Ovis aries: one gene and its partners. The protein of the gene in region 4 interacts with the protein of the main gene of each other region in a pairwise test. Links are inferred from orthologs where the notes say so. Each region holds a gene or a part of one and is shown on either strand. Other genes may lie near its edges. The genes, in order: PDGFRB, indolethylamine N-methyltransferase-like, TBC1D10C, KLHL12, BAG6, FLNA and TTBK2.

Evidence for each region.
Region 1: the proteins of KLHL12 (region 4) and PDGFRB interact in binary tests that used the Homo sapiens proteins (3 or more experiments, as listed by UniProt). The two-hybrid records come from large-scale screens. The link is inferred for Ovis aries from reciprocal best matches to the Homo sapiens genes KLHL12 and PDGFRB.
Region 2: the proteins of KLHL12 (region 4) and indolethylamine N-methyltransferase-like interact in binary tests that used the Homo sapiens proteins (3 or more experiments, as listed by UniProt). The two-hybrid records come from large-scale screens. The link is inferred for Ovis aries from reciprocal best matches to the Homo sapiens genes KLHL12 and INMT.
Region 3: the proteins of KLHL12 (region 4) and TBC1D10C interact in binary tests that used the Homo sapiens proteins (3 or more experiments, as listed by UniProt). The two-hybrid records come from large-scale screens. The link is inferred for Ovis aries from reciprocal best matches to the Homo sapiens genes KLHL12 and TBC1D10C.
Region 5: the proteins of KLHL12 (region 4) and BAG6 interact in binary tests that used the Homo sapiens proteins (3 or more experiments, as listed by UniProt). The two-hybrid records come from large-scale screens. The link is inferred for Ovis aries from reciprocal best matches to the Homo sapiens genes KLHL12 and BAG6.
Region 6: the proteins of KLHL12 (region 4) and FLNA interact in binary tests that used the Homo sapiens proteins (3 or more experiments, as listed by UniProt). The two-hybrid records come from large-scale screens. The link is inferred for Ovis aries from reciprocal best matches to the Homo sapiens genes KLHL12 and FLNA.
Region 7: the proteins of KLHL12 (region 4) and TTBK2 interact in binary tests that used the Homo sapiens proteins (3 or more experiments, as listed by UniProt). The two-hybrid records come from large-scale screens. The link is inferred for Ovis aries from reciprocal best matches to the Homo sapiens genes KLHL12 and TTBK2.

Annotation. Positions count from the first base shown.
Region 1 is NC_056058.1:59,242,718-59,246,498, forward strand, and holds part of PDGFRB (platelet-derived growth factor receptor beta), read right to left. Parts: intron 3,464-3,781; coding exon 3,353-3,463; intron 2,346-3,352; coding exon 2,186-2,345; intron 1,171-2,185; coding exon 1,010-1,170; intron 476-1,009; coding exon 357-475; intron 119-356; coding exon 1-118. UniProt on the Homo sapiens protein: Tyrosine-protein kinase that acts as a cell-surface receptor for homodimeric PDGFB and PDGFD and for heterodimers formed by PDGFA and PDGFB, and plays an essential role in the regulation of embryonic development, cell proliferation, survival, differentiation, chemotaxis and migration.
Region 2 is NC_056057.1:67,134,968-67,139,473, forward strand, and holds the start of indolethylamine N-methyltransferase-like, read left to right. Parts: upstream 1-1,577; 5' UTR 1,578-1,599; coding exon 1,600-1,753; intron 1,754-3,173; coding exon 3,174-3,381; intron 3,382-4,506. UniProt on the Homo sapiens protein: Functions as a thioether S-methyltransferase and is active with a variety of thioethers and the corresponding selenium and tellurium compounds, including 3-methylthiopropionaldehyde, dimethyl selenide, dimethyl telluride, 2-methylthioethylamine, 2-methylthioethanol, methyl-n-propyl sulfide and diethyl sulfide.
Region 3 is NC_056074.1:41,706,581-41,710,148, forward strand, and holds the end of TBC1D10C (carabin), read left to right. Parts: intron 1-46; coding exon 47-236; intron 237-1,746; coding exon 1,747-1,901; coding exon of another isoform or gene 1,902-1,983; intron 1,984-2,181; coding exon 2,182-2,529; 3' UTR 2,530-2,871; downstream 2,872-3,568.
Region 4 is NC_056065.1:79,311,717-79,315,704, forward strand, and holds the end of KLHL12 (kelch-like protein 12), read left to right. Parts: intron 1-550; coding exon 551-746; intron 747-1,175; coding exon 1,176-1,334; intron 1,335-1,644; coding exon 1,645-1,743; intron 1,744-2,389; coding exon 2,390-2,576; intron 2,577-2,892; coding exon 2,893-3,019; 3' UTR 3,020-3,410; downstream 3,411-3,988. UniProt on the Homo sapiens protein: Substrate-specific adapter of a BCR (BTB-CUL3-RBX1) E3 ubiquitin ligase complex that acts as a negative regulator of Wnt signaling pathway and ER-Golgi transport.
Region 5 is NC_056073.1:26,725,829-26,730,391, reverse strand, and holds the start of BAG6 (large proline-rich protein BAG6), read right to left. Parts: upstream 2,930-4,563; 5' UTR 2,676-2,929; intron 2,671-2,675; exon of another isoform or gene 2,508-2,670; intron 2,447-2,507; exon of another isoform or gene 2,159-2,446; intron 2,031-2,158; 5' UTR 2,018-2,030; coding exon 1,910-2,017; intron 895-1,909; coding exon 777-894; intron 664-776; coding exon 467-663; intron 230-466; coding exon 176-229; intron 14-175; coding exon 1-13. Other genes in the region: APOM (apolipoprotein M), read left to right, coding at 3,376-3,739. UniProt on the Homo sapiens protein: ATP-independent molecular chaperone preventing the aggregation of misfolded and hydrophobic patches-containing proteins.
Region 6 is NC_056080.1:80,076,377-80,080,646, reverse strand, and holds the start of FLNA (filamin-A), read right to left. Parts: upstream 2,809-4,270; 5' UTR 2,694-2,808; intron 1-2,693. UniProt on the Homo sapiens protein: Promotes orthogonal branching of actin filaments and links actin filaments to membrane glycoproteins. Anchors various transmembrane proteins to the actin cytoskeleton and serves as a scaffold for a wide range of cytoplasmic signaling proteins.
Region 7 is NC_056060.1:36,387,300-36,391,849, reverse strand, and holds the start of TTBK2 (tau-tubulin kinase 2), read left to right. Parts: upstream 1-1,594; 5' UTR 1,595-1,935; intron 1,936-4,550.

The DNA of each region.
Region 1 (3,781 bases), on a different chromosome or scaffold from region 4:
CCTTGGAGATGTAGTTCGAGTCCCGCATGATGTCACGAGCCAGGCCAAAGTCGCAGATCTTGACCAGCTTGCCCTCACAGATGAGCACGTTCCTGGCTGCCAGGTCTCGGTGGACGCACTGGGGACAGAGGGGATGGGAGCTGAGACTGTGGGGCAATTGTGGGGAAAGGCTCTCCAGGTCAAGGGCTTTATGAAAAATACATGGCTGGTCAGGTATGAGGGGCCACCAGGTGTGGGGCATTGGCCATCTTCAGCCACCAGAGGGACGCTGTACGGGTCACGTACTTGGAGGACTCTGGCTGGTTGGGGGACCCCCCTCCCCAGGACCCCACTCTGCTCACTGTGACTACACATACATTCTTAGAGGCCAGGAACTCCATGCCATTGGCCACCTGGTAGCTGAAGCCCACAAGATCCGTGTAGCTAAGCACTGGGGACTCGTTGATCAAAGTCACCCGGCAAGTCCTCTCAGGAGCTAGAGAAGAGCAGAAGGACATTTTGAGTCTCCCCAGGGCCGCAGAACCCTGGCCTCTGGCTCGTAGAGGCTGGATGGCCCAGAGAGGAGACTCCTGATCCTCTAAGGCTGCCCCAAAAGGAAAACAATTTCCAAATATCTCTTAAATTCTCCAACTTCCAGAAAAAACTTTTGGCATTAGCCCTGGGCCACTTTTGCTCAGCCTGGCCTGCCTGCTCCTCAGGGCACTAGTCAGCCTGGGGCCTGCTCTGAGCAGACCACTGTTTCCTGAGGCCCCAGCAGGTCAGGCTTCCCCTCCAATCCAAGCTCCTCTCCTCCCTGAAGGCTGTGTGTACATTTCTTGACCCAAAAACAGGGGTTGATATTGGGGTTCCACCACACAGCAGCTTTGGGCAGGTGGCAGGCCTCAGTTTCTGCATCTATGAAATGGGCACAAGGCCACCTTCCTGGCAGGGTTGTTGCCAGACTGGGTGGAGGAAAGGGTTTGGAAAGAATGTATGACAACACAGGTGTGAGGACCCTGTGTGCACCCACCAGAGGGGACGTAGTTATCATAAGGAGCCATGTAGTTGGAGGACTCGATGTCTGCGTATTTGACATCTCCTTTCATGTCCAGCATGGGCACATAGTCCACCGACTCGTCCTTGCTCATGTCCATGTAGCCACCATCGCTCTCCCCAGGCAGTGACACGTGGCTGGGGGCAGAGGAGCATCACAGAGACAGTAGCACAGGCTCTCCCCGTCCATCCCCCTCCTGCCCCTTTGCTCAACACTGGGGCCAGAAAGGCCCCATCACTTATGCATTTCTTCTCTCCCTCACTCACGCATCCTCCACTCACAATTTGTCACAATATGAACGACCATGTAGTCAGCCCTTCCAGCCAACCTCAGACCCATCCTGAGCTGGGCACTGGGGCTGCCAAGATGACGATAAGATCTAGGTTGTGTCCTCAGAGAACTCATGCCCAGGGCGATTCCAGTACCCAAAGACAAGGGTCACAGGAAGGACGCTGTCCAGCCATGAGGCCCTGCAAGTGAGCAGTGAATCACCTTAATGCCTCTGCCTACAGCATCAGCTCCCCAGAGAGCTGTGGGACAAAGTATACATGTGTCTCTAGGGGGAGAAAAAACACTGGAAGGAAACCAATCAAAATGTTGAAGAGAACATGGATGAATTTTAACATCTTTTAATGCTATTCTTAACTGACTCTTGCCTCTGAAATAGACTAGTATTGCTTTTGCAATGAGCAAGAGAGAAAAGAAATGTCATTTTTGGACAAGCAGAGGAGAGAGTATAGCTACCCTGGAGGCACTGGAGAGACTGCTGTGTGGAAGAGGGGGGAGGCTGCAGCAAGGGAGGAGCAGAGTGGAGCTACAGTGAGGGTCAACCGGGAGCAGGAGGGCCCCAGGTGTTTCCCGTTGATGGAGAGACCATGATGTGTGTTTGGTGAGAGGTCGAAGGGGATCACACCTGCAGAGTGCTCAGTACAGGGCCTGGCACACCTCCTACAACCAGCAGGTGGCAGCTACCATCATCACCACTGTTATTATCATGCCCACCTCTAGGGTGGCCGAGGGGGCCAGGCTGCAGGCTGGCTCTAGGAGCGGCTCCACCCACCCTGGCCTCAACTTCCTGTCCTGGACAAGGAGGGGTAAGCAGGTGCTCCTCAGGGCTCCCCACCAACTCAGGCCCCAGCCTCCCTGCGGTACCTAGGCAAAGGGAGCCCGACAGGCAGGGCGTTGCTGTAGAGCTCGGCGCTGGGCGGGCGGCGCTTGTCCGAGCAGCGCTGCAGGAAGGTGTGCTTGTTGCGGTGCAGGTAGTCCACCAGGTCGCCATAACGGCAGTACTCGGTGATGATGTAGATGGGCCCTGCAGAAGGACAGGCTCAGGAAGAGTCCCAGGGCAGGGGGTCGGGGTGGGCTCAGGCTTCCGGTCAGAGCCATGAGGCTAACGACAGGCTGCATGTGGAACAGCAAACAGGCTCAGGCCCCAGGCAAACCTGGATTTTCCTGGCTGTGAGCAAGGCAGTCTCCCTGAGCCTTACTATCCTCATCTGTCAAATGGGGCTAGTAATACCCACCCCAAAGTACCTCATGAGTATTCATGAGATAATGCCTTTGGTTAGCTCAGCTCAGTGCTTGGCAAACTGCAAGCATAGGGCTAGCTGTTGTTGATGAAGCTGAAATTTGAGCCCAGGATATAAAGCAAAGGCAACTGATTATTACCAGGTTACTGTTTAAATTCAAGCACAATGCATTGACTTGGCAGTTTGAAGATACTGGTGGAATCAAACATTTTGAAATGTGTGACCACTGCAGACAAAAATTAGTCTACGCACATAGTGTACTTCTGTATTTTGTTTTGGTTGCACAATACTGAGGAAAATCCCAAATCTCACAATAAGCAGCTGAAAGTAGTGATAACTTTTTTTGTGTGGCCTAACGTGTAATCAGAGTTTCAAATAAACACACTCAGCTGGAGAGACCTTACTTATTCTACGATCCGAGTGAAAGCAGCTCTCAGTGAGCAAGCCGGTTGGTGGTCTCCAGAGGAAGGGCTCGTTTCAGTGTCTCATGAGCTGTTACGTATCACCCTTTTTAAAATCGACTGCAACAAGCTTTAAACGTCAGAGGGCTCCTTGATTTGGAAACTGCTAGGAATGGTGACCTGGGGAGTGCTTTGGTCTTAGAGGTGATGTGGTTTTGTGACTTGCTAATCCGACACACGTCTGGCTCTGTGAAGTGAGGGCACTGGACTGGGTAGGCACGGGCCCTCCAGTGAGAATGTCCTGTTGTCCTTGGACTGAGGAGGGGGCAGGGAGGGGCCAGGCCTTGGCCACTGGCACTTTCCCAGAGTCCTCTGGGAGGGGGTTGTACCTCCTTTAGTGCAGGCCCCCAGCAGGTTCACCACGTTCAGGTGGGGCCCAAGGTGACTCATGATCTTCAGCTCCGACATGAGGGCTTGCTTCTCACTGCTGCGGGCTGTGGCTGAGGGAGAGAGAGGACCTCAGGCCTGGCCCAGTCACGGAGGCCTCACTGGAGCCTATTCTGGCTCCTCTGCCCCAGTCTGTGCTGTTAGACCCAGGTGGTCAAGGGTGGTGAGGACCCACGGGCAGGAGAAAGGAAAAAGGGTGGGCGGGGAGGCTCCTGGAGGAGGGGGCAGGGTGAGGAAGCCTCTTTACCAAAGGAGAATTGGGAGTGCTGCTGGCTGTGGTATGCCTGTACTTCTGCACCCTGAGAATCAGCACAAGGCCTGCTCTGGGAGTGCCTGAATGTGCGGGGGAGTTGGGGGTGAGGGGAGGGAGG
Region 2 (4,506 bases), on a different chromosome or scaffold from region 4:
GTTTGCATCACGGGGACCTCAGTATCACCTAGGATTATTAAGGCTGTAAAATCTCAAGAACAACAATCTGCGTTTAGAGGGATCCCCGGGTGATTCCTGGGCATGCTAGTTTGAGCAGCACAGCCAAGCGACCCTGCTAGACCGCACAGCGTGATGAGGAGACAATACATTTGGAGTGATTCTTTATTTGGGCTTTGGACGCTGGCCTTAAATCTACTCCTAGACCCCGTCACTTGCTGCCAGAACCCCCCTGGGAGAAGGCTCATCACCTTCAGCTTCCTAATCTCCAAGGAGTGAGTAGGTCTCAACATCTACTCCACAGTTCGTCACAAAGAAGGCAGACGATGAGTGTGATGGACACACCCGGCACACTACACCCCAGGGTCCCAGACTTGCCCATTTGCAAAACACATTAGAGTTTGCTACCTGAAATCTCTGATCTTAGGTGAATTTGGGGAAGAGATTTGGAAACACTTTTTTTTTTTTTCTGTTTTTTATCCTTTTGGAAACACTTTTTTTTTTTTTAACATAACTTTTTATTTTGTAGATTCACATGCAGCGTAGGAAATAATAGAGAGAGATCTGAGTACATTTCAATGATAGTATAATGGTAGCATCTGTCAAAACATAGTATCACAACCAAAAAATTGTCACAACCAGAAGACTGCTGGAAATAAACCAGCTCCTACCAAGAAGTCAATCTGAAACCTATTCAGAAGTGCAGGCAACCCTTTTGATACAACCCACAGCCCTCATTCATCTGTTACACATTTTACTAGTAGTTATGCGTGTGTGCATTTCTGTGTGTGTTTGTGTGTGTGATTGTGCATGCAAGCAAGTTCCACAAAATTTAATCACATGTTCTGTTTATGAATGCCAACACTTTTAAAGTGATTTGTGCAAACAGAGGCTTCTCAACCTTTTCGGTGGCCCTGGTTACAATTATTTCTATCCTCACCAAATAAAGGATTGATTAAGCAAATAGAGTAAATAGGATTGAAGATAGGAGGAAATATTCAACCAAGTTCAGGACTAACAATTTAAAGAGCAAACTCACTGACCTCAGTGAGTGAAATTCAGCCATTTCTGCATTCTGTTTTCCATGCTACAGGGTTTTCCTTTCTGCGTTTCATTTCCCAGCAAACCCAGAGAGAGAAGGACACTTGACCTATTCCAGATACTTGCCCTCTCTATGCCTTTGTCTTTGTCTATCTCTCTTTGCTCATCTGTGTCTCTCTCTTTGTTCTGTGGCCCAGACCCTCTGCTTCATTCTCTCCCAAATCTAACCCTTGCCAGCAGCATCTACATTCAAAACATCACCTCTCAGAAACGAAATACTGAGACCCACCAATCCCCCCCCAGGAGCATTTGTTGACCACCCTGTTGGTGTTTCTCTGTTTTGATGATTACCAAAGAGATAAACCCCAGCCAGAAAGCTAACATGTGGCCTGACTCCATGATGTGCAATCCTAGCTCCTCCCTGGGAGGGAAGGTCTGTCTGATGAGATTATGAAACTCCCCATGGGCAGGGCCTAGGGAAAGAGGGTAGATAAAATGGGGAACCGCAGCAGGAGAGAAGCAGCAAGGTCCACAGCCAGAATGGAGGGCAAGCTGTACAAAGGACAGGACTACAAGACAGAGTTCCAACCCCGGGACTACTTAAAGACCTTCTATGCCTTCGATTCAGGCACCGTAGCTGAAAATGAAATCTTGAAATTCAACCTGAATAATCTATTTGAAACTTTCTCTCCAGGTGAGTGTCTGGTCTCCCTCTCAGGCAGACGATGGGGCTGCGCCTTACAGGAAGGGCTCTTGGTGGCAGGGGACCTGGCCTCTGGGACACCACTCACCTAGGAGGCTGCAAAGGCAGCCCAGCTGTGAATCCACGAGGACTGTCACTGGTTGGCCACTCGGGGAACCCAAGCACTGGCCTTTGCAGCCCAGGAACCAGGCCTGAATCTTTGACAGTCCATCTCAGTTTCTTGCCCTGTGAAATGGGAAGGTACCTCCTGAACTGTGCGGCTCCTCACAGACTCATGCTGGAAGGGATAGGCAACAACAGATATGAGCATACTGCCTCCCCTTCAGTAACATAAACGTGGCTTTATAGCCTGGTCTCTTGAGCCGCCTTGAAAACCTGATGAAACATCTGGTATATACACAACACAGAAACACTCTTAATCTTTTACACAAAATTAAGAGGGTTCATGGATACCCAAAGCCAAACCACAGAGCTCAGTTTACAAATTTCTGCTCTGAGTTGTCAGGGTGGGGGGACCGGCAGAGATTATCACCCAAGTCCTCCATGCACACAAGGGGAGGCTGAGGTGCAAGACACCAGGCTGGCCAGCCCAGGTCAGCCCACCTGTCACTGGCAGTAGAAAATCTCAAAATCAGTTCATGCAGGGCTGCCTTGCACAGTTGCACAGGGAGTGCACTGAACAACTAGGGGGTTACTCAGTCATTCAACAAACCTTGCCCTATGTATTCGATGCCAAGAAGGAGATCAAGCGAGGTCCACAGAAATACAGACAAATGAAAGCTTAAGGCTCATCGAGAAATTTTAGGAGACTCTGGAGGAAGGACTGGGATTAAGCCTTGGAAAATGGACTGGTTTCAATGGAGGAGGAGGGAGGGAGGAAGCAGGGAGAGGAAGGCGATGTACTTATACTGCTCTTCCCGCAACTCACCACAAGATCCTCCTGCCTTCCGTGATTGGTGGAGCGAGTTTTGAACCCACTGGCTCAGCTCTCGGCCTTTATCAGGATCTCTGTCCTTGCAGCAAGGAGGTGGGAGGGGGCCGTGGGGTCACTCTCACCATTGCTTTAAACCCAGAGTCAGGAGACTTGCCAATGAACCAGCTTCTACCAAGAAGTCAACCTGAAAGCTGCCCAGAAGGGCAGGACTTGTCCTACCAGGGCTCCAGTAGCAACCCTTGAGGCAGCAGGGGGACCCAGTATGTGCCAGCCTGTGCCCCACTCTCCTTTCTCACCCTTCTGAGCCGCAGACATAGGGTCTAGAATCCTCAGACAGTCCACGTAACTGCCCAAGGCAGGGTCGGATCCCCTGGGAGTCACCCTGGGGAAAGGGCAGAGCCTGGCATCTCCATCCACCACAACTGGCATGGAGTCGGGTGTCTGCCCCCCACACCTGGAACACGCTATCTCCTGCAGGAGGCATTGGAGGCGACATCCTGATCGACGTCGGCACAGGCCCCACCATCTACCAGCTTATCTCGGCCTGCGAGGCCTTCCGGGAGATCATCATGTCAGATTACTCAGAGCTCAACCTCCGGGAGGTGGACAAGTGGCTGAAGAAGGACCCGGGGGCCTATGACTGGTCCCCAGCCATGCAATACGTGTGTGGGCTCGAGGGAGACAGGTATCCACAGTCCCCATCCTTCTCACAAGACGTCTCCCATCCTCACAGGCCTGAGTCTGAGCCTGCCACCCTGCATCACTGGCCAGCTCCTTCTAGCTTGTTCCTAACCCACTTGGGTCTCTGGCCCAGAGCACCTCCCTCCCTTTGAGTGAGTCCCACCTGCAGCCTCAGAGTTGCCTGTGATCAAAGCTTCGGTTACCTGATTTGCTCTCCATGTTTTGCATCCCTTCCAACCTGTGGGACCTTTTCCAACCTGTGGGAGCTGGAAGCTCCCCTGATTGCTCCAGCACACGCAGATCTCTTTGCTCTCAAAACTCGTGGTTCAGCTTCCACGTTACCTAGTGTTGGAGGGGCACGTGTTATGGGAAGACATGAGCTTCTTGGAATCACCCACATCTATCTCCTCCACACTGCTACCAAGTCCCAGAGACCAACAGCACTCAGCCCCTCCAGGCACCTTCCCCATCCAGTTCACAGAGAGGGAATCCATCAACCAGAGTCCACGAAACCGAAGCCCAGATGTGGAGAGTGACCTCTAGGTCACCTTAGAGCAGGACAAAGACCAGACTTTAAATTCCTGTCCCATCTTTCGGCCATGGGGGCCTGACCAAATTACAGACTAAGGGCAGCCTGAAATGGAACAGGGCCTCAGGGTCTCTGAGCACAGGGTCTCTGCATCATCCCAGCCTGGGCTTCATACATTCTTGTCATCATTCACAGAGAGCATTCTGAGAGTCAGGTCACTTCCAGATGCTGGGAATAGCACAGTGAATGAAGCCTCTGCCCCGTGGAGCTCACATGCTCGTAGGAAGCACAATGCCCCCAAAGTACATGGAGGAAGGATTCAGGGAAAAACAAGCGTTCTAGAGAAGACTCTCCAGCCGCAGGGGCCTAGAGAGGTATAGGTGCTATGTTAGGTGGGAGGGTGTTTTACTCACCTTGAGCCATCATACGAAATGTCACAGATGCGGTGGCTTGAACAAAGACACTCACTTCTCTCATTCTGCAGGCTGGGAGCTCAGGATCCATCCTTGAACTTGGTGAGGGTGCTCTTCCTGGCCTGTAGTTGCCATCTTCTAGCCATGTCCTCTGAAGAAGGAGAGGGAGAGTTAACTAGGTCTCTAG
Region 3 (3,568 bases), on a different chromosome or scaffold from region 4:
GGCGCCTGGGGACGCCAGCCGCCGGTGCTGATGGGCGTGGCCGCAGGAGGCTGTGCGGCTGGACGCTGAGGTGTTCACGGCCCTGCTGCGACGGCTGCTCCCTCGCGTGCACAAGCATCTGCAGAAGGTGGGCGTCGGGCCCCTGCTCTACCTGCCCGAGTGGTTCCTGTGCCTCTTCGCCCGCTCCCTGCCCTTCCCAACGGTGCTGCGTGTCTGGGACGCTTTTCTTAGCGAGGGTGAGTGAGGGGCCGACCAGGTGGGCGGGGGCAGGAGGGGGTGCCTGGTGGGCACGGAAGGTGGAGGTGCCAGCTTCGCTCTGCCCCACCGCCACTGCCGACCCTGATCTGGGGCCTGGGTGCTGGGGTGTGCTGAGGGTAGTCGCTGTTAGCCATGTATCACCAGTGGGAGGAACAGCAGCCCCTGCCACAATCAGTGAGATCACCACAGGGAGGGCACAGCATCCACGTGGGGGGAGGGCTGGAGTCAGGGAGGCTTCCCCAAGGTCGATGGGGCAGGAGCTGGAGAGACCACAGCAGTGGCACAGCTCGGGGACTGGGCACTGTGGGGGCACAGCAGATGGAGCCCCTGGGCCCTCATTGCGAGCCCTCAGAGGCCAGGCACGCCTCTGGGAGCCAAGGCCACTTGAGTAAGTGAGACCTACATTCTGGTGGGGGTGGGGATGGGAGGCGGTGGTACCAAATTAACAAGATATTTATAGATTGTCTTAAGTTCCATGAAGAAAATAAAACAAAGGACATACCAGAGTGTAGGGGAATGGCAGGAGAGGGCTGTTTAAATACGCTGGCGGCCACTCCTTGAAAGAGGCAGATACGTGGAGCCGGGTGGAGAAGGAGAGGCAGGCAGGGCCCTATCCGCAGGGTCCCAGCCACGGATGACTTGAGGGGTGCGGGCATGGGGAGAGGTGCCAGGCCAAGAGCGGGGGGCAGTCGGGGCAAAGCTGAGCTGGACTCTGGATCTCTGGGGCCCTGCCTGGTACCCCCATCAGTGGCACAGCTGCTTTCTGTTCTATGCGGGTTGTCCAGCGGTTGCGTGGTAGAAATCCACCAGTACATCTACTGAGCACCCGCTGTATGCCCAGTTGGCTTCAGAGTGGGTTAGCATTCTAACCACGGACGTCCAAGTCACTGTCTGCTTGTCCTCCCCTGCACTCGGGCCTCGAGGGTGGCACAGGCAGGGCCCCGTGGAGGTGCCCTTGCCCGTTGATAACGGTGACGACCTTAGTAGTCCTGTTGTCTCTTCACACGGCACAGTGGTCACCAGGCCTCACTGGTCCCCCGACTGCCTTTCTCAGCAGACCCGAGGCTGCCAGGGAGGGGCCCTGAGGCTCCAGGAGCAGGCCAAAGTCACGTGCGTGTGCGTGCCTGCATGTGCTCTTAGCTTAGGGGTGAGGAGTTCTGGCTTGAATCTTTCTAGAATCAGAAGCTCACAGATCTGAGCTAGAAAGGCTGTCTTGTTACCACCCAGCCCTTCACTGGATGGGGCACGGAGCTGAGGCCCAGAATGAGAAAGCCCGTGTGAGGCTGTCAGTAGCCCTTGGCTCCTGGCAGGCTGTGCTGCCCATGAGCATCAGTGGCTGCTGGGACCCGCTGGCTGGTGTCCCTGGATGGCCGACCTGCTCAGTCCAGGCAGCAGAGCTGCAGGAGGGTGGAAGGAGTCTGGCCGAGGACAGGTTCGGGCCCGGGCTGAGAGCCGGCCCCGCACTGAGCGAGCCCCACTGGCCTGCAGGTGTGAAGGTGCTGTTCCGCGTGGGGCTGACCCTGGTACGCCTGGCGCTGGGCACCACTGAACAGCGCCTGGCCTGCCCGGGGCTCCTGGAGACGCTCGGCGCCCTTCGATCCATCCCCCCTGCCCAGTTGCAAGAAGAGGTCTTCATGCCCCAGGTGGGTGCCCCTTGCGCGCCCCCTGCAGTGGCCCAGCAGCCCCCTGCACAGCTGGGGAAACAGGCCTGGAGGAGTAGTCACAGTAAGCACGGGGCTCCATTCTTGTCCTCTGAGCAGCAGAGAAGGTGGAAACCCCAGGCCTCAAGTGCCTTTTAGTCTGCCTCTTTGTCTGTCAGGCCCTCAGCCCTCAGCCACTTCCTGGGGCTGTGTGCTGCCTGCCCTGCGGGGATCTCATCATTTCCTGCCCTCCCCCAGGCTCAGTATCAACTGCTCCCCGCAGGTGCATGGCGTGGCCCTGTCCGAACAGGACCTGCAGCGGGAGATCAAGGCCCAGCTGGCCCAGCTGCCCGCATCAGCATCCGAGCCACCCCCGAGGCCACAGGCCCGCCTGCCGGGGGCCCCAGCCATCTTTGAGGCCCAGCAGCTGGCAGGAACCCAGGGGAACCCCCGGCCCGAGGTGCCTCGCATCGTGGTACAGCCCCCAGAGGAGCCCCGGCCGCCCCGGCGCAAGCCCCAGACCCGAGGCAAGACTTTCCACGGGCTGCTGACCCGGTCCAGGGGCCCCCCTATCGAGAGCCCCGCCAGGTCCCACAGAAGCTCCACCTCCTTCCTGGACACCCGATTCTGAGGGTAGGTCCCACTTCTGAGGGTACCACGGACTCAGGGTCCCCCTGATCCCAACTGCCTGAACAGTGGATGCCAGCCTTGAAGTGGGCACCGCACTTTACAGCTGGGGTTGGATGCCTCATTCCTTTCCCATGGACTGCCTCAGGCCTGAGGAGGACGGAAGGGTGCAGAGTGGGGTTTGGGGGACCCAGGCCATCCCCCACCCACAGGGCTGCCCCAGTGCCTGGGCCCTTGCACACATCAAGCTTGCACTGGAGGAGTATGCAAGAAAGGGCATGGGCTGGGCCACAGGGACCCCAAAAGGCTCATGAGGGCCCTGGAATAAAGTCTGAACAGAAGCCTGCATGGGGTCAGATCAATGCCCTCTACCCGAAACCTTCCACCAGCTGCCCCCTCCTGTTACGGCCCCGCCCCTCCTAGTCCCGCCCCAGCTCCCCAGGGCACATGGAGGCTGCCCGTTGGGTGCTGGAAGGTGTTTACCAGCTACAGGGACCAATGGCAAGCTGCAGCACTCAGCCTCTTGGGGCCAGGTGAGGCTCCTGTGCCTGGGGGAGGAGGGCTCCCCCAGTGGACGCTGGGCCCACATGTGGGACTCTGTCTCCTCTTCTGCTCCCTCCCCTTGCTGATTTCAGGAGCACACCCAGCAGTGGGAGCACTCTATCCCAAGTCTGCCCCCCCACCCCACCCCGGGTCCTAGTCCCGTCCTCAGAGAGAGCCGGCTGAGAACAAAGGCCTAGTGTGCCCGGACAAAGGAGAAAGGCCCCGCCGGCCCTTGCCCCCTCCTGAAACCCCAGCCGCAACCCCTGGGGACTGCCACCATGGAAACCCCCTCCCACACTTGCTAATTGCCCCCGTGGGTGCCCGAGGTGCCTGGGACATGAGCCATTGCCAGGACAACAGGGCTGTTTCCGAGGCAGGCTCATGTCCCTGCAGGGCCGTCTCAGTGCTCCGCCTCCTTGGGTGCCCTCCCCTGAGGGTGGAGGGTGGAGGGTGGGGGCATGGTCGGAGTTCCCGGAGAAAGTGACTGTAGTCTTGTTTAA
Region 4 (3,988 bases):
TTCCGGCCTCCCGATCGGTTCACAGGGTGCCCGCTCCTGCCCTGTTAGCCTGAGCACGGTGCTCAGCTGTGCTGGACTGAGCTGGTGTCCGTGGGACCCAGGGTCTGTGTCTCCTTGGGGGTTTCTGCTTCAGTGCAGTAACTGTGAGAACCATGGGGATCTTTGGGTCATTTCTCATGGCCTTTCAGGTCATTGGGTCCTGGCCCTTAGAGAGCAGTGCACTAGTCTCTTCCTGCTTCACGGAAGGATGTTGGTCTTTAGCGCAGTGCTTATGGAATGGGAAGGAATCAGATACTGGATAAGGGAAGGATGGTAGATCCTCTGGAATCCTTAGAGACAGACGCACAGAAGACACTCATCAGTAAGAGCATCACTGAGCAAGAGGCGTTTGTCCAGTGGACAGGCAGCAGATAAACCTCTGCTCAGAGGGCTTCACGGCCACAGGCAAAGCAACAAGGTGCGGAGGGAAACCCAGGAAGGACCACAAAGGTGAGGCCTGAGACTTGTCTGGCTAAAGTGGCAAAGGCGCCTCTTCTCCCCTGAATCCCAGAGCATTACTCGGAAGAGACGCTATGTGGCCTCGGTGTCCCTTCACGACCGGATCTACGTGATTGGTGGCTATGACGGCCGCTCCCGCCTCAGCTCCGTGGAGTGTCTGGACTACACGGCAGACGAGGACGGGGTCTGGTATTCTGTGGCTCCGATGAACGTCCGGCGGGGCCTGGCTGGAGCCACCACCCTGGGAGGTAGGCTGCTGCACAGGGCGGCGCGTGCATCTCGGTGTGGCTGGATCGGGGTTCACACCTCCATGAAATGTGGAGGCAGCCGGTGGGGTCAGTCACACCTTTCTGGTTTCGGAAACACTCCAAGGCATCTCAGTGCTGACACTGGAGTTGGTAACTCAGGCTCCAGTGTGCTGAGGGGGCAGCTGGCGCTAGTGGTAGTTTTGCAGACTCGCATCTAGGAATGTTTCTGAAGATTCCATCTTACCCTGTTCTTCTCACTTGTCTTGACTGTGCTGTCCTCTTTAAGAAAGACTTGATTTATCCCTTAAAAAAAACCAAACAGTTGTTTCTGGCTCCAGGCATTTGGAAGAGTTGTGGGAGATTTGTAGACAAGGAGTCGTTACAAACCTCTCACTCTCTAACGGTCTGTGGCTCCTTCATTCTGAGCAGATATGATCTATGTCTCTGGGGGCTTCGATGGAAGCAGGCGCCACACCAGTATGGAGCGCTATGACCCGAACATCGACCAGTGGAGCATGCTGGGCGACATGCAGACGGCCCGGGAAGGTGCCGGCCTCGTGGTGGCCAGCGGGGTGATCTACTGTCTAGGTGTGTGGGGTCTGGGACGGGGTGGGGGCGGGATGACTAAGGGCAGCGGCCTCGGCGCAGGATCCCTTTCACTGGAATTGGTTCATAGACTTCCTCCCCCTAAAACCCTGGTCTGTCCCAGTATAGTTTCCACTCACTGGGATTCTCCTTTTCGTGAGAGCAGAAGACAGGTTGCTCTCAGGTTTCTCTCTGGAGCCCTTGAAGAGAGCTGGGACGAAGAGCCTCAGTCAGGGCACTTGAGGAAGGCAGGCCAGGAGCGGGAATCCGCACCGACCATTCTTTCTGGAATGGTTCCCGCTCTGTCTTTCAGGAGGATATGACGGCTTGAATATCTTAAACTCAGTTGAGAAGTATGACCCCCATACAGGACACTGGACTAATGTCACACCGATGGCCACCAAGCGCTCTGGTAAGACCGGGCAGGCCCCAGGGGCCGGAGGCGGAGCTGTCAGAGCTGCCTGGGCAGTGGGGCTGCAGGCCTGTCATCACTGGCAACCTGGGAAACATGGGTCAGGGCCGTTGTCCTCAGTGTCTGTGCTCCCTAAATACAGCGGCATTGGAGACAGCCCAGACTCTCCCTGGGTTAGGGTGAGAGCAGAGCCTCCTTGCCTTGTCTTTTTGTACCTGAGTCCCTCCCTCCATCCTGGCCTCCAGCTCAGCTCTGTGCAGTGGCGTGGGCTGCCTGAGGGAGCATGTGCAGGAGTCGGGCAGGGAGGGGTCTTTCTGAGCCCTCAGGCTGGTGTGGAGGAACAGAGAGCCCTGCCTCCCGGTAGCAGATGCTCCAGACCCATCACGACCCCTCTCTCTTTCCCTCTTTTTTCCACTCCCTTCTCTCATGACAAGGGTTGGGCTCCGAGTTAATGAAAGTGAGATGACGGCCAGGCGAAGAGGGCTGCAGGTGCGTGGCCTGTGCTGGACTAGATCCTCCAGGCTGTCTGGCCCTGGCCCATCCCTCGGCCACTCTGGGGCTCACCCAGCCGTCTGTCAGTGTTTTGTTTCTAGGGTTCAGATCCTCAGCCCAGCAGCCGTCATCTGTTGTGCCCTTTCCTCCCCAGGTGCAGGGGTAGCGCTGCTGAATGACCATATTTATGTGGTGGGGGGATTCGATGGTACAGCCCACCTTTCTTCTGTGGAAGCCTACAACATTCGCACCGACTCCTGGACAACGGTCACGAGCATGACCACCCCGCGGTGCTACGTCGGGGCCACGGTGCTTCGGGGGAGACTTTATGCAATTGCAGGGTGAGGGGTAAATCTGGGATCCAGGGCCGTGTGAGCTGATCCACGTGTGTGGTGGAGACAGGGTTTGGTTCCGCAGAGAGGGCTCCATGGCAATCTTAATGTGGGGCCCTGTGGGGAGGGGGGGCCTTGTGGGGAGAGGTGGGGCGGAGCCTATTGAGACAGGCTGTGGGCGGGGCCTTGTGGGGAGGGGGCGGGGCGGAGCCTATTGAGACAGGCCCTGGGCGAGGCCGGGGCGGGGCAGGGCTGGGGGCGGGGCCGGTGGGCGGGGCCGGTGGAGGTGCGCCTTTCTCTATCCCTGCTGGCCCTTCTCCCTCAGCTACGACGGGAACTCCCTGCTGAGCAGCATTGAGTGCTACGACCCCATCATTGACAGCTGGGAGGTCGTGACCTCCATGGGAACTCAGCGCTGCGACGCCGGCGTGTGTGTTCTCCGAGAGAAATGACTGGGCGAAGAGACAGTTTGCAGAGAACCAAGGGTCCTTTCCAGAATGTCTGTTCTCAGTGCGGGGAGGGGATGACAGGCTCAGTGCCGCGGCTCTCACTGAGCTTATTTGACACGCCCTGGCGTTGGGGGTGTCCCCGAGGGCGGAGGCCGCAGGCACTCGAGGGCGGAGGCCGCACCCTGCATGGGTGTGATCGGCCAGACCCTTCTCCTGGCCGCGGGGGCACTTGGTCCTCGCCTTTAACCTCGTGTGCGCTCCAGAGAATATACCTTGTGCCTCGTGTGCTGTGGACAATTAAGGTGAACATGAACTCCAGGGTGTGGGCAGGGCTGGAAGGGTACCAACTCTCTTGGTTTTCCAAGAATAAATCTCTTTCCTAGTCTACAGGTAACAGGGGCAACAGAGTTCTGTTTTGGAGGAAAACGAGGGAAGAGCCCTGTCAAAACCTCGGGGGCCTCGGGAGTGGGGAACTGGGTGTCCAGTGCAGGACGGGACCTGGATGCGGTGGGGTGTGAGAGAGCCTGCAACACGTGGAAGGCTGAGGGGGCGTGTTACCTGAGGGTCTTTGCTGGGCCCTAGACACAGAGCAGCAGTGCAGGAAACGTGTCCCAGACCGAAGTTCCTGTGACTTCACCATTGCCCACCCCCGCCCCCGCCCCGGCTGCCGCACCTGTATCCCAGGAAGGCTTTCCTCTGTTGAATCAAGGACTGCTTTCTCCACTGTTGCCGTCGGTACTGTTTATAGGGGGAGGGGAGGAGCGGGGGTGGCAGTCGCCTGGTGACTCCCCTGGTTCTTGTAAGAGCATACTTCTGCCAAGGAGTCGTTTTTACTGCTGTGTTTTGTACATGTTGTCCTTTCTTATTAGAACACCCCTTCCCTGTCTTTAGACTGGATCTCACTCATCCCAGGACGGAATAACGATGAGAACCGAAACCCGTTTGTTAGTTCGGCGCCTCCCGGCCTTCTGA
Region 5 (4,563 bases), on a different chromosome or scaffold from region 4:
CTCGGGGCTCACTCTACAATGAGAGAGAAAATCAGGTCAGGCTGGAGACAAAGCCACAAGCTCCATTACCTACTAAACCAGGACCCAGCCCCATCTCTTCAGCCAGACCCATCCCCCACTTTGTGGCCTCCTTCTCCCAGATCCCCTTCCTTGACCCTCCCAGGCCCTGTGATACCTGAATTGGGGCCTGTTCCATGTTGATGTGAACATCCACAGCAGAGCCGTCACTCTGAGGAAAGGGTAAGGGAAGTTGCTCTGGGAGAAGCCAAATACTAAGGCCCCCACGCTTCCAACTGATTCTCTGGTGCCCGACCCCTCTAGATTATCAAAGACAGAGGCTGTTACCAGACCAGAGAGCCCACCAAAGCCCTTCTAAAGACTGACACACCTCTCTTATGAACTCTTGGCTGCTACCACAACCAAAACTGACCCCACAAAAACCCTCCCGTGAGGAACACAAGCTTACGGGAAGATTGAAGGTTCCAACCATGACATAGCTGTTGGCATTCCGGTCATGAACAGAGGCCCCAGGCCCCCGAGTACCAGGCGTGGGTCCCCCACCATGGGTGGCTGAGGTGGACCCTGTTCCAGAAGATGCTCCAGAAGGGAGCTGAGTCTGAGGAGGAGCCCGTTCCACAAGGTGAATAACCTTTCCCCCAACATCTGCAGAAAAAAGATACACACCAAAACATTACATGATCAGGGAAACCCTTGGCCTCAGCTCACTGCTCTGGACAGCAGCCTCAAGCTCTGCTCTGCCTCCCCCACCCCCTTACTGTATTCTTGGAGCTTCTTATCATCCTGCAGAACTCGTCCCTGGTAGATAAGCCGTTGTTTCTCAGATGGGATGCTAACAGAAGCAGCAATATGTTCCTTAAACTCCTTTACGTTCATCTGTAGGGAAGAAGAAACATGACGAGGAATCGGGGGTGGAAGAAAAAGGACAGAAGGGGGACAGCTGACTTGTAAGGGGTAAAAACCATCCCATCCTAAAATTACTACCCACCTGTCTTAATTGTGAGGTAATTATTGAGCAAAGCCCTGAACTAGGGCAACACTTGTCAAAATACATACAATAAACGTAACGAACTTCAGGTACAGGCCCAGGAGAAAACTACAGGGCTGAAGACCAGAAACACCAACTGACATTCTCTTCTCTCCCTCTCTGCCTGGCTCCAAAAGGAATGTGTGTGCCTAGAGATACCGGTGACCCCTCCACAAACACAAAATGATACAACACTGTAACCTTAAAGATAAAAGCAATGACAAAGAAGATGCGGTAGAGAATCAGGTTAAGGAAGGCAGACTCAAGCAAGAAGAAAAAGGGGCAAAGTCAGAAAAATATTTTTCCTAACTAGACAACTGACTTGTGAGAAGTATCCAGCTGTTTACAAACACCTAATCACAAAAGCCTACACAGTCTCATTAAATACACGAAACAATGTGTTTAAAACTATGGATCAACCTCCTTACGGTTTTGTCTATTAAGGATCTACCTGCATTATGAGCATTATGGGATCCGACTCCTATCCTTTAAAAACACAGCATAGACCTCATCAGTTTTTAAGACACTCTTCTACTTTAGGTCCTAGTGTTCTGTTTGCCTTCCCAAAGGCAGGAGCCACATCTGTCCCTTTGGGCTGGGGTTCATCTATCATGTTGGCATACAGATTCCTCCTTCTTTCTTTCCCTCTGCATTGAGTTTTATCGAGGTGGAGGAAGGCAAAGAAAATCTACCTCACCCAACAAAAGCCAAAGAGGAAACATCAGAAAATGTTCTGGATACAACATGAACAAAAGAACCAATGAGAGAAAATTTGAAAACCATAATATCAGGCTCTTCTTTCAGTACAAAGAACCTGTAAGAGGAAGAGTTAATGAGTGTCTCCCAGAAGTACTGGGGTCTCACCTGGGCCCCCACAATAAAGGTCCGGGTCTGAGAGTCCAGGGTCTTCACCAGCACCTCCAGGCTGTCAGGATCCTCCATAGTGGTACTGGTACTATCACTGGGCTCCATGGCCGACAGCTCTCTAAGGAAGAATGTTAGGAGGAGGCCCGCTGTCGCCTAGAGCAGATTTTTATATACCCGGAAGCCTCCCCTGCCCGAGACTCCGCCCCATGCCTAAAGAGTTTCTCCCACACAAGCACACACACTCACACCCGCCCCCATCCCCCTTCTGATTCCGGGGCACAGGGAGAGAAACACAAAGGGTAAGAGATCGACGGCACGGGGAGCTGGAGGGCGGCAGGTGGGAGGGGCTCAACGACGCCAATCACAGTAAGGGAGGGCCAGAAGAGCTAGGAAGACGGGAAGGAAGGAAACACGAGACCGGTGTCATCACCGGTCGCGGTAGGACAAGGGCTCGAGAAGTCGGCAAACCCAGGGGACAACCAGAGAGCGAGGGTCGCGCTAGACTCTGCGGAGAAAGTGGTTTCGCGCACGCGCGCCACGCCACGCCCATCGAACCCGCTTAAGTCACTAGAGACCCGAAATGACGAACACTCACGGGGGGCTAGATCGGCGAGCTGTCTCCCTCTTCCACGTACCCTCGGTGTTCTATCAGAAAGGCACAACCAACACACTCCAAACACATACACACACTCCAAACACACACACACACACACATACACACACACCCTACCACCCAGCTCCGCCCCCGACTTCCCCACGGTACCGTCACTTCCGGTCTCCCCCAACCTGCCACCGACGGCCACTTCCGTTTCCCCGATAGTATTTGGGGATCGCGAGGCGGTACTTCCGGCTCCCCCCAGGTCCCCAAGCTTTACTTTTGTGGGGCTTTTCCAGAAAGTCCGCGGCCCCAAATAGTGAGTTCCTGGGGGCGAGACGGGCCGGGGCCGGCCTAGATGGGAGGGAGCCGAGCACCCCGAAGAGCCGCCGCCACCGCCGTCGCCCGGGGGACCGTACTGCGCCTGCGTGCGTCCTACTACGCATGCGTGCACCCTTAGGCACCTCCCCACCACAGCTGGCGCTGTTCAGTTCTCCCCTGCGCGCGCTTAAGCAATAGGGGGGTTGTGGTGGCCGCTATAAATGCCTGATAAAAAACACGAGATGGGACTCTTCCACTGCCTCGAAAGAGGCTTTGAGCCGTTGTGTGGATCTTGGAGTCTGGAGGCTGGGGATTGTGCCTCGCAAATCTATGCTGAAGTCTTGGTCGGCAGAGAATTTGAGGCGGCACTGTCCAGGCCACCTAGAATCCTGTCTTCTCTTACCATCGTCCTCGTTGAGCCACTCCTTCGGCGTCTCCGGAAGTCACCCTTTCCATAGGCGGTTGGAGGTGGTTCTCGAGCTGATTTACGTGCGGTGGCGTCGTTGGGCCTGACCTCGGTTTTGCCCGGTGGGCGTTTTGTGGCGCCATGTTCTTCCCCGGCGGTTGCGGCCGAGGGCACACGCCATGTTTTGGAGAAACCAAGGATTTAGGACCTTTCAGGACTTTTATCTTAAAAAGGACGACTCCGAGTTTGGGAATTGGAAACATGGGGTCAGACTGGAGTGAAACACAAGACTCTGACCCTGGGGGATTGAGAGGGCCGCCTAAGGGCTTCTACAGGTGGAAGGTCCGGTATAGTTACCGTCCCTCTGCCCTCTTCTCCCCCCGCCCCTCGGGCAAGGGCCTGGGCCCCTCAGTGCTGCCACTCCTCCAGCCAGAGCCGTTGCTGCCGGTGTACCTGCCTCCGGTGCCTGTCCTTTCTGGGATTTGTAGCTTCTACTTAAGTCCCGGTACTGAAAGTTTTAATAAGCACATGTATAGTGAGCCCCTAGTTGGTGCCAGCCGGTTTGCTGAGGGTTTCACATACTGTCACATTTAATAGCCTTTCAACATCTATTACATCCCTTTATATAGGTGCATGTAAGTGGCAGAACTGACAAATCAGGCCTACCAGACTCCCTTGGGTCAAGCACTTCTATTTTACTGCCCCAATAGCTTGCATTTTAGTTTTTTGTTAAAAAATATAATGAACCCTCAGCTATTCATCACCCAAATTTTATTCCTTTAGCTAAATCGCAAGCGCAGAGCAAGCCTCACCTCTCAGAACAAATCTTTATGGCAGCCTGTGGGTTATAAATAATCCAGGAAGTACCATCTTCTTGGCAGTACCCAATGATTGCCTCTTGACAATTCTTTGCCTACTTCCTATTACTTGAGAACATAATACCCACGAGAGACTAATAAGTGCTTTACAAACATTGCTATTAATTATAGGGAATATTTACTTTGGATTTATGTGCAGGCCTTTGCTAAGGGCTTCATATGCCTTAGCTCTTCTAATCCTATGAGATTGATGATTTGCTCATTTTATACATGAGAAAACAGGCAAGATTAATAAAATTGTCCAAAGTAAGGGTTTGGACCCACCCTGCTTGACACCACTGTCTATACTCTAACCACTAGATTCTGTAGCTTCTTGCAGTAATAAACATTAAGTGAATGAACTCGTGTGTCAGCAGACTTTTCTGGACGGTGTGCATAGTTTCTCCAGTGAACAACTTGAGAGAGAAAGCCTCCCATCCACATACTTCAGCACCTGGTACATACCTGTTGT
Region 6 (4,270 bases), on a different chromosome or scaffold from region 4:
GAGACGCTGCAGCGATGAAAGGCTGAGCAACGTCTAGAGCGGGGGACCGCTTGGCCTGCAGCGGGCACACCATACAAGGGACTTTCCTTCCCCAAGGCCCCTGCGGGGGGTGGCTCGCCCTCCGTGAGTCACGTGGACTCCGCTCGGTCCCCGCCGCCCCCTCCCCCCCAACCTCCGGCGCTCGGGGGTCCCTGGCCGCGCCACAGCCAGCCGCCTCGCCGGCAGCCGAGAGAAAGGGCCCGATCCGAAGGGGCGAGCCCTTGGAGAGCGCGGGTCTGGAGAAGGCTCTGCTGCCCGCGCCGGGCGTGCGTGCGCCACGCCAGGGAAGGCCGTAGCCGCACGACCCTAAGCCGCCCCCCAGACCCCCAGAACCCCAGAACCCCAGAACCCCTGCCCCAGCAAGCCTTCCCGCTCTGCAGGATCCTGGCCTGCGCCCGCCGGTCCCAACCGCCTCCCTCCCTCCCCCCTGCACCCCAGAGGAAATGGGGCACTGGGCCAGGAGGCCACCGGCGCTCCAGGAGCCAGCAGCCTTGGAAGGGGCCTGGGCATGCCAATGGGCACTGGCACGGGGTGCCCTGTGATGCGATGCATGCAGAGATGGCGGGTAAGCCTGCCTCACCCACCGGCAGTCTACCAGAGGCGCGAGGGGCTTCCCCTCCGTGGCTGGGATGGCCCCTGAGCCCAGCGTGACCCAGGAGGCTGCCAGAGGGACCTGCCCCGGGCTTCCGATAATGCACTCTGAGCACCTGGGTCTCAGTGGGCTTCGGGGTCGTGGGAGAACAGAGGAGGCCTCCCGGACAGGGGGGCCAGGGGACTGAGGGGGGGCAAACCATGAAAGGCAGCTGGGGCCTGCCGTGGAGCCAGGACTGGGTACTGGGGACCTATTCGCTCAAAATACATTTTCTTGTAGATAACTGGAGACTATGGGGGGGATACTAAGACCAACAAAGGCACAGAAGCAAGAGGCCTGTCAGGGACAGTCACTGCCACCTTCTTCAGTCTGGAGAAGCCAGCCTACTGGTGGCTTCGTCCCCAGAGTGGACTCACTTCCCTCGGTCCTGTGTCCTTCCCCTCTGCAGGATGTTCCCTTCTTCACATCTTTTTTTTTTTTTCCCCCAGAAAGGCATGTCTCTGTCCCTCCTGCTTCGTACTTAGATCGAGCTTCCTACTAGCAGTACCTCAGTTCTCTGCTAAAGACCAGTGGGAAAGAAGCCCCTAGGTCAGCATGCCCAAATAAGGCCAACTCTCACAGCCCTGGGGACTGTGTCACCCACAGTGGGGCTGCAGTCAGCACCTGGCCTCCAGCATGCTCTCTTTGGGGCTGCCTGGTACCCCACACTGGTTTTTGCTCACCAGTGACATTTTTCAGTCTAAAGGCCTGACCACTTTAGACACACCTGCGCAAAATTCCACACCATGGTGTCTGGGGACTGGGATGGAGGTGGGAGTGACAGCAGTAGAGGGGGACCCGTGCAGACTCCTCCCTAGCAGGCCCCACCCAAGCAGAGATGAGAGCCATCCTTCTGATCCCCTGCCCCCCTGAAGAGCCAGTCCCCCAAGGAGAGAATCATACTGAGAGTTCATTGTCACTTGACAAGTGCCATCCAGTTGCATTATCTGTGTTCTTTTCTTAATCTGCAGAGAGCAGGGAAACTGAGTCAGCGTCAGTAACCAGCAGCCAACTCCAGCAGAAAGGGGGACAGAAGCCCTGGCTGCCAGCCTTAGGCTTCTTCCCTATTTGGGGGGTGATAAGAGATGGGGCTCTAACGAGTTCTTGTCCCCAGGGGACATAGTATCACCACCAGGTGGCGCCCCATCCCAAAGCCCCCAGATAGGGCAGTCCCTGGAAGCTGAAATACAGCTCTTTCATATTTTCCCTTATTTGGAGTCGATTTCTTGGATGTTGTTAGACACACCCCGCCTCCCACCCCAACTCCTTCCCTCAGACCCCAAGCCAGGCCCTCCCACGGCTGGTGAAAGAGAGGCACAGGGTGGCAGGAGAGGCTGCCCAAGCCCAGGTGTGGCAGGCAGGCTGACAACGCTCCAGGGCTGAATTCCCACCTTGACTGCGCTGCTAGGAGCCCGTGCAGGTGGGTCTCCCAGCGGCCGTCACCTACTCCTCCTGGCCCAGGAATTGGGGTGGGTGGGGGTGGGGGGCTGGCCTTCACATCCTGCCTGGCAGTGAACATCCAGCTCAGAGCCAACCTGGGACAGGGCCCAGCCTCGAATCTAGCATGGCCAACCCCATGTGCCCTCGCCCCAGTGGAGCGCAGCAGCCCAGAAGCCAGCCCCACACCTCTACCCAACGCAGCCAATGCCCAGAGCACTGATGTCAGGGAGGAACCGACCGTCGACATCCCTCCTGGGGGCATATTGGCTGCAAAGTGTCTTTCCAGGTGGCCTCTCGCCCTGACCCCACACAACGTCCTGCTTCAGAGCCCTGCCTTCCTGGACAGTCATGCAATGACCTGCCCCCCAGTTCACCCTCCCAGGGCACCCCCATGGCTGTTGGGCTCTCACACTGCGGGGCCAGACCCAGATTCCCCAGGAAACCAGGGAAGGCGGCTGCACCACCACACCCCGGCTTGCAGCTGGCCCCGGGCACCCCACCACCAACTCCGTGAGCTGCCCGCCGACCACTCTGCTCGGTGCCCGCCAACCGCTCCGCCCGGTGCCCGCCGCGGACGCCTCACCTTCTCTCCCTGCGGGCGGCCGGCGGCCGCGGGGTGGCGCCTGGCAGATCTTCGAGCCCGCGCCTGGCGCCTCGGGGCTCTGCTGGCGTCTGCTGCGCGCCGGGCGCCTCCACGCGAATGGGCCGCTGCCGCCCGCCTTCTTGTTGGCCGCACCCCCGCCCCGCACCCGGCCCGACTCGGCCCGACGAGAAAGCCTTAATTGGTAAAAATCACCCAGGAGCGGGGCGGGGGGGGGGTTTCGAGGGGGGGCCCCGCGGGGGCGCGCCGTGAGCTCAGGCGCCTGGGCAGCCGGCGACGCCCCCCTACCCCCGTTGAGATGAGCTCACCCTCTGCTGACGGGGAGGGGCGGCCCGGAGGGTCTGCAGAGCCTGCGTCTCGGCCCAGCAACGAAGGCCACCTCCTCCAGGGAGCTGCCCAGTCTTGCGCCGCCCCCCTACCTTTACCCCAAGCCTGGGGCTGGTCGGACTAGTTGGATTCTACCTTGGAGGGGGAAGTGCAACAGGCTCTAGCAGGTATGCACTGAGAGCCTCCCACCTGAAAGTCTGCACGGGGGCAGGGACCTGAGCCCCAAGACAAGCCAAACAACATCCCGGGCTGGCATGGGTTTGGCCCCTGCCCAGTGCCAGGCCTGGCCTGGAAGCAAGCAACAGAAGTGGACTGAATTCTCAGCAGCACAGTTAGCTGCAGTCCTGAGGCCTGGGCATGGACAGTGGGGTGCAGCCGAGGAGCCAAGCGTCTGGGGAACTAGGTGGGCACAGCCACACCCTGGCACTGCCAGGCTCCCTCTTCGTCTTCTGTGTGCCCATTTCCTGGTATTAACAGCGTCGTATTCAGCTCAAATGTCACTTCCTCGGGGAAAGCCACACAAAGCAGTGTCTTCTCACTGTGCCCACAACCCCCACAAAGAACTGCATCTTACATCCTGAGCCAATATTTGCAGGCACACACGCAGATCGACACAAATGGCTGAAATAAACGTTCCACGAAGTGAGACTGTCCCTTACCACCTGAAAAGCACTCTGATCTTTCTTCTTTTATTCTACTTCATTAAAGGAGAAAAAGCAAAGAAGGGAGCTGCTGCTGCTGCTAAGTCGCTTCAGTCGTGTCTGATTCTGTGTGACCCCATAGACAGCAGCCCACCAGGCTCCGCCGTCCCTGGGATTCTCCAGGCAAGAACACTGGAGTGGGTTGCCATTTCCTTCTCCAAAAAGAAGGGAGGGAGGGAGGCAAAAGGGGAGAAGCAGGAAGGAACAGGGGGGAAGAAAGGAGAAGTCTGCTGTCACCTGCTAACGTAGTTTGATATCTACAGCTGCACACTAACAGGAAGGCACTGATTGCCCTCCAGGCCTCTCCGCAGCCACTGCTGCCTTTGTTGGCAATGACCTCTCCACCTTGACCCCAGGTGAGATCGCCTAGCAGTGGCCTCGGTCTCTGTTTCTCCCCGCCCCATCTAGTGGGATCCACCCCTCCGCCCCTCACGGCAGTGGGTTATCCTCCCTTGATAGATGAGCAGTCTCAGTTTAGGTCCACAAGGTAGCTCATGGCCAAGGCTATCCTTCAAGGAGGGACACCCACCT
Region 7 (4,550 bases), on a different chromosome or scaffold from region 4:
TCTGGACTTTGTTTCCCCCTATAAACATCTTTAAAATTAAAGAAAATCATTTACAGAAACACTGATCCTTTCCAATTCAAATTACTTGCCCTGACAATACCCTGAAGTGAACTATATTCTGTGAGACAAAGTAACAGAAAAAGCAACTTGTAGTTTCAATCAGTGGAAAGAAAACAATTTGGCAACTTCTTAAAGTTTGAATAGAAGAGAGCTGCATCATCAATTGCCTTTAATGTATATTTTGTCCTGCTTTTTATCCAAGGATCTAGACATGACAGAAGTGCCTGCTGTTTTTCAAAGAATGTCAAGAGGCTGTGGCATTTCCTGAACAAGAAACAGATTCAATAATAGTTATGAGACTGAATATAGGATTCATATTTAATCATTATATATTCTTAATCAACTTTAATCATAAGGTCACGAGGAAATAAAAAGATTTAGAGTAAAATGAAGCTAAGAATTCATCACAATCTTTTCAATCCATGGGATTTCAGGCTCCTGGGAATCACTGTGATTATTACAGCACCGGACACGGGAGTTTACCAGACTGGAGTTTGGTTCTTCCACTAATTAGTTTTGTAGCTCTAGGAAAGCTGTTAACCTCTTTGAGCTTTTTCTTCGGTAAGTTGGTGGGTAAGGATGGCAGAGGGGTTTTATCATAAGGTTTCCTCTTTACCAAAGAGCTTGATACACCAAAGACAAATTAACCCACACAGCCTCGTTGCTCCGCCCTTCTCGCTTTTCTTTTAAAGTCTTAGTGGGACTCCCGCAGTGTCGCCCAGAAGCCCATACTGGACACCTCACGGGGGCTGCTCATTGAACCCTTCACTGGGGGTGTTTCCCAAAAAGGGAGCGAAATCTTGTTCTTGAAAACCGTAAGGATACGCCGGGCTCCAGGCTGACTCCTTTCTGGCGGTCTTGGTCTCCTTTCTTCCTTACACTTTCAGGCCTGTTCCCAGTACACACCGGTGAATAGCTTCATGTTAGGCTGTTCTGGGGATAGAGCCAGTTTGCCAGATCCTGGCAGCGAGGGTTCTGAGGAGGTGGCAAGGCAGGGCCTCAAGATTTGGGGCCCTTCACGACCGAACACCTCGGTGTGTGTAAATTCGTATCGTGACAAAGCATTTCCGATCTTCCTCCGAAAAGACCAATCCTGGCGTCATAACTGTGTCTCTATAACCAAGATAACTGCTGAGTTAGGACGACACCACTATGCGCCAAACACCAGTCTCAGAAGCCCTACTTCGCTGCTCGGGACGAGAGGGCAGTTGCGGCTGCGGCTGGAACTACAAGGACCAGAATTCCCGCGCGCACGCGCGCTGCCATTGTGATGCTCCTTTCCCGGTAACTCGCCCTCTCAGGCAAACCTGAAGATAGCGGCAATTCTCCGGTGGGGGGCGGAGACGCTCTTTGCCTGACTCTCCGCCCCTTTCGTGATAGGCAATGGGACCAGCCAACCGACTTGGCGGGCTTGGGACGCGCTCTCCAATCAGCACCTGTGGCGGAGAGGTGGGCGTGCGCACTGGCAGGGCAGGTGGGCTAGGCTGTGCTGGGTTGCGAAGGGGGAGAATAACGTCGGGTCGGGTCAGCGGGCGCTGCAGTAGTCGCCGCAGCGGCGATGGGAGCGGTGGGGACCAGGCGGCGGCGGCGGGGGCAGGAGGAGGAGCAGAGGCTGGCACAAGCACAGCGGCTGGGGGCGTCCAGCAGCCGCAGTAACAGCAGCAGCCGCCGCCGCCGCCAGTAAACGCGGACGGTACCCGAGGGGACTACCCAGCCGGCCGGCCCTCGAAGCCGCGCTCCGGTCCCGCCGCACTTGGCGGTGGGGGATGGGCAGGCGGCGGCCGTCCCGTCTGCTGAGGGTTGACCGCTGCCGGTCCCGGCCCTGAGCTGGACCCGAGCCCTCCTTCCGAAATCCCTGAGACCGCCACGGCCCAGGTAGGACACACCCCCCGCGACCCCCGCAGGACGCCGCTGGGGGAGCCCCGCCCCCCGCCCTCTCTCGGTCCTGACCCCTTCCTCCGGCCGCGCCCCTCGCCCAGTGACGGACCCTGGTGTAGAGGGGAGGGGTACCGGAGACTCCTCGGTCGCTACCCACGCCCTGGGCTTGCGCCAGACTCAATCACTCCAACTCGGAGACCGTCTGCTTCTCCCCGGTTTCCCCGGAGGGTTGTGCCCCGTATCCCCAGAGGCTTTTGGTGTCTTCACTGAACTTGGGAGGGTCACAAAGCTTCGTTCTGTCTCTCTCTCTGTGGGTGACCCACATACCACTTGTATTCATGCTGCTTCGGGTACCAGGACTGAACACAGAGGATTCTCAGGATATACTAAACACTTCTTTCCCACCTCGCTTTCCCAGATCTAATAGAAGAGGGCACGGGACTATAGAATCTGTTTGTTGTGTAGTAACGACCGTGGAAACCGTGACTTTCTGATACTTAGGGTGCGAGGTAGACCTGAGGGATTTGCTCCTCATTTCCTTTGACTAAGATGGTGTTGACACCCTGGAATGTTGCGGGAGGGACAAAAGACTCTACACATACTTACTATCAAATCAGAAGTAAATAATCCAGTGGGATGCCAGGATACTTTATCCACAGTGAACTTAATTTTATTTCAGTCGTGGTCGCCTTAGAGGTATAAATGACATTGAGTTGTACTTTGCTTTGAATTAAAGTTGATAGGTGGCAGCAATCCGGTATTACTCTTCTCATCCTGCACTTTGGAAATTGTTCTTTTTTTGAACATTAAAGAGGGCAATTTTATAATAACCCATGTATTATGTAAAGATGCTTTGGTATTAAATAAAAATTGAGTTTTTAACACATATGTGAGGATCATGATATTATGAATGTGCACCTGCACACACACGGAGGATCCACTCAGTGTATTTTGTTACAGTGTTTGGTTCTGATCCATTAATAACAGTTGCATTGATTTCTAAATACTGATTTGCTAAGCTAGACTGCAAAGATGTATTTGCTGTTTTCTTTCGGCTGAATGGAATAGAGTAACGTTCATTTGTCAGGGAAAGGATGATGGGCAATTTATTTTAAAGCTGAATGCTGGTTTTTTTTTTTAATAAAGCAGTAATCATGACAAATATTACTTATATGACTAATCTTGAAAAATTCATCTCAACTCTAAAATTTTTTCAGATAACAAGTGTGTGGACTTGGATGATGTTTTGTGCTCTTTTGAAGTTGAAAACATACTGAAAGGAGGGTCTAATTTAGAAGCTTATGTTTTCCAGGTGATACATTTTGTCTGTGCTGAAAGGGATGTTTGAAGCATGGTTATAAAAGAAAGTTTTTGTAGTAACTTTTCCTTTATGTTACCAAATGATTTTTCTTTTTTTTTGTTTTAGACACATAAAAGAAATTGAAGTCCCTAGCATCATTAATTTGTAATATTAAGTTGAAATAAATCTGATCTTCAGTAGGAGAAGGAAATGGCAACCCATTCCAGTGTTCTTGCCTGGAGAATCCCAGGGACAGGTAGCCTGGTGGACTGCCATCTGTGGGGTTGCACAGAGTCGCACAGTCGGATACGACTGAAGCTACTTAGCAGCAGCAGCAGGAGGCTAAGAATAGTGTATCTTATACTATAGTTGATACATAAATAGGAAATTCTTTATTGTACTTTATATGACTTCAGATTTTTGTGTCTTTTTTTGACTTCCTTTTAAATACTTATTATTTTAATGCCTCAGGAAATCTTCATGAGTTTAAGGCTCATTTGCTTTAGTGAAGCGAGTATAATACAAAAAACTTTTGAGGGTATTTTACATTTAAAAAAATGTGACAGTGCTAGATTGTGGTTTTCTCATTGTAAATAAATATTACAGAGCTGAGTATGCTATGACATGGAATTTAACTTTGGTGGTGATGGGGGGAGCAGGCAATTCTTTATATAAGTTTTGTATCCTAAAGTAATGATAATTTGCTTGCAATTCAGGACATACTGTGAGCTGGAACCACCCAACTGAGATACTCTCAGATTCCTAATCCTCATGATAAATGTTTGTTGTCTGAGAAAACAAAAAATAGTGTAAAACAAGAGAAAATGTTTGAGCATTACTGAACTAGTGACAGATGAATTGATTAGCAAATGAAAAAGCATTTGAGAACTAATGGACAGTATAGCTTGCTTCCTTTCCCATTGAAAAAAAATCCCTAATAGAAAAATTCTTTTATAGATATGTGGCATTCTTTACAGTTTGAGTGCATGTTACTCAAAATTACTAGAGTCATGTGTTTCTTTCTTTACTATTTTTGAGGTTTTTGAGAAACATTCAAAATATAGCTGGAACTATATCAGTTTATTTGGTTAGTATTTAATATGGCAGGACATTTTTAATATTTATAGGTTTTAAAATATGAAATTAAATGTTTATACTGTTTTACTTCATTGTCATTTTGTTGTTGTTGTTATTATTCAGTATATTGTAAATAATAGTTCTGATGGTGGTAGATTTTCCCCCACAGGCTTCAGTGAATAGAATCTTTGGGTTGAAAATACTTTTTTTTTTTCTTTTATAGCTTTTGTGCTGT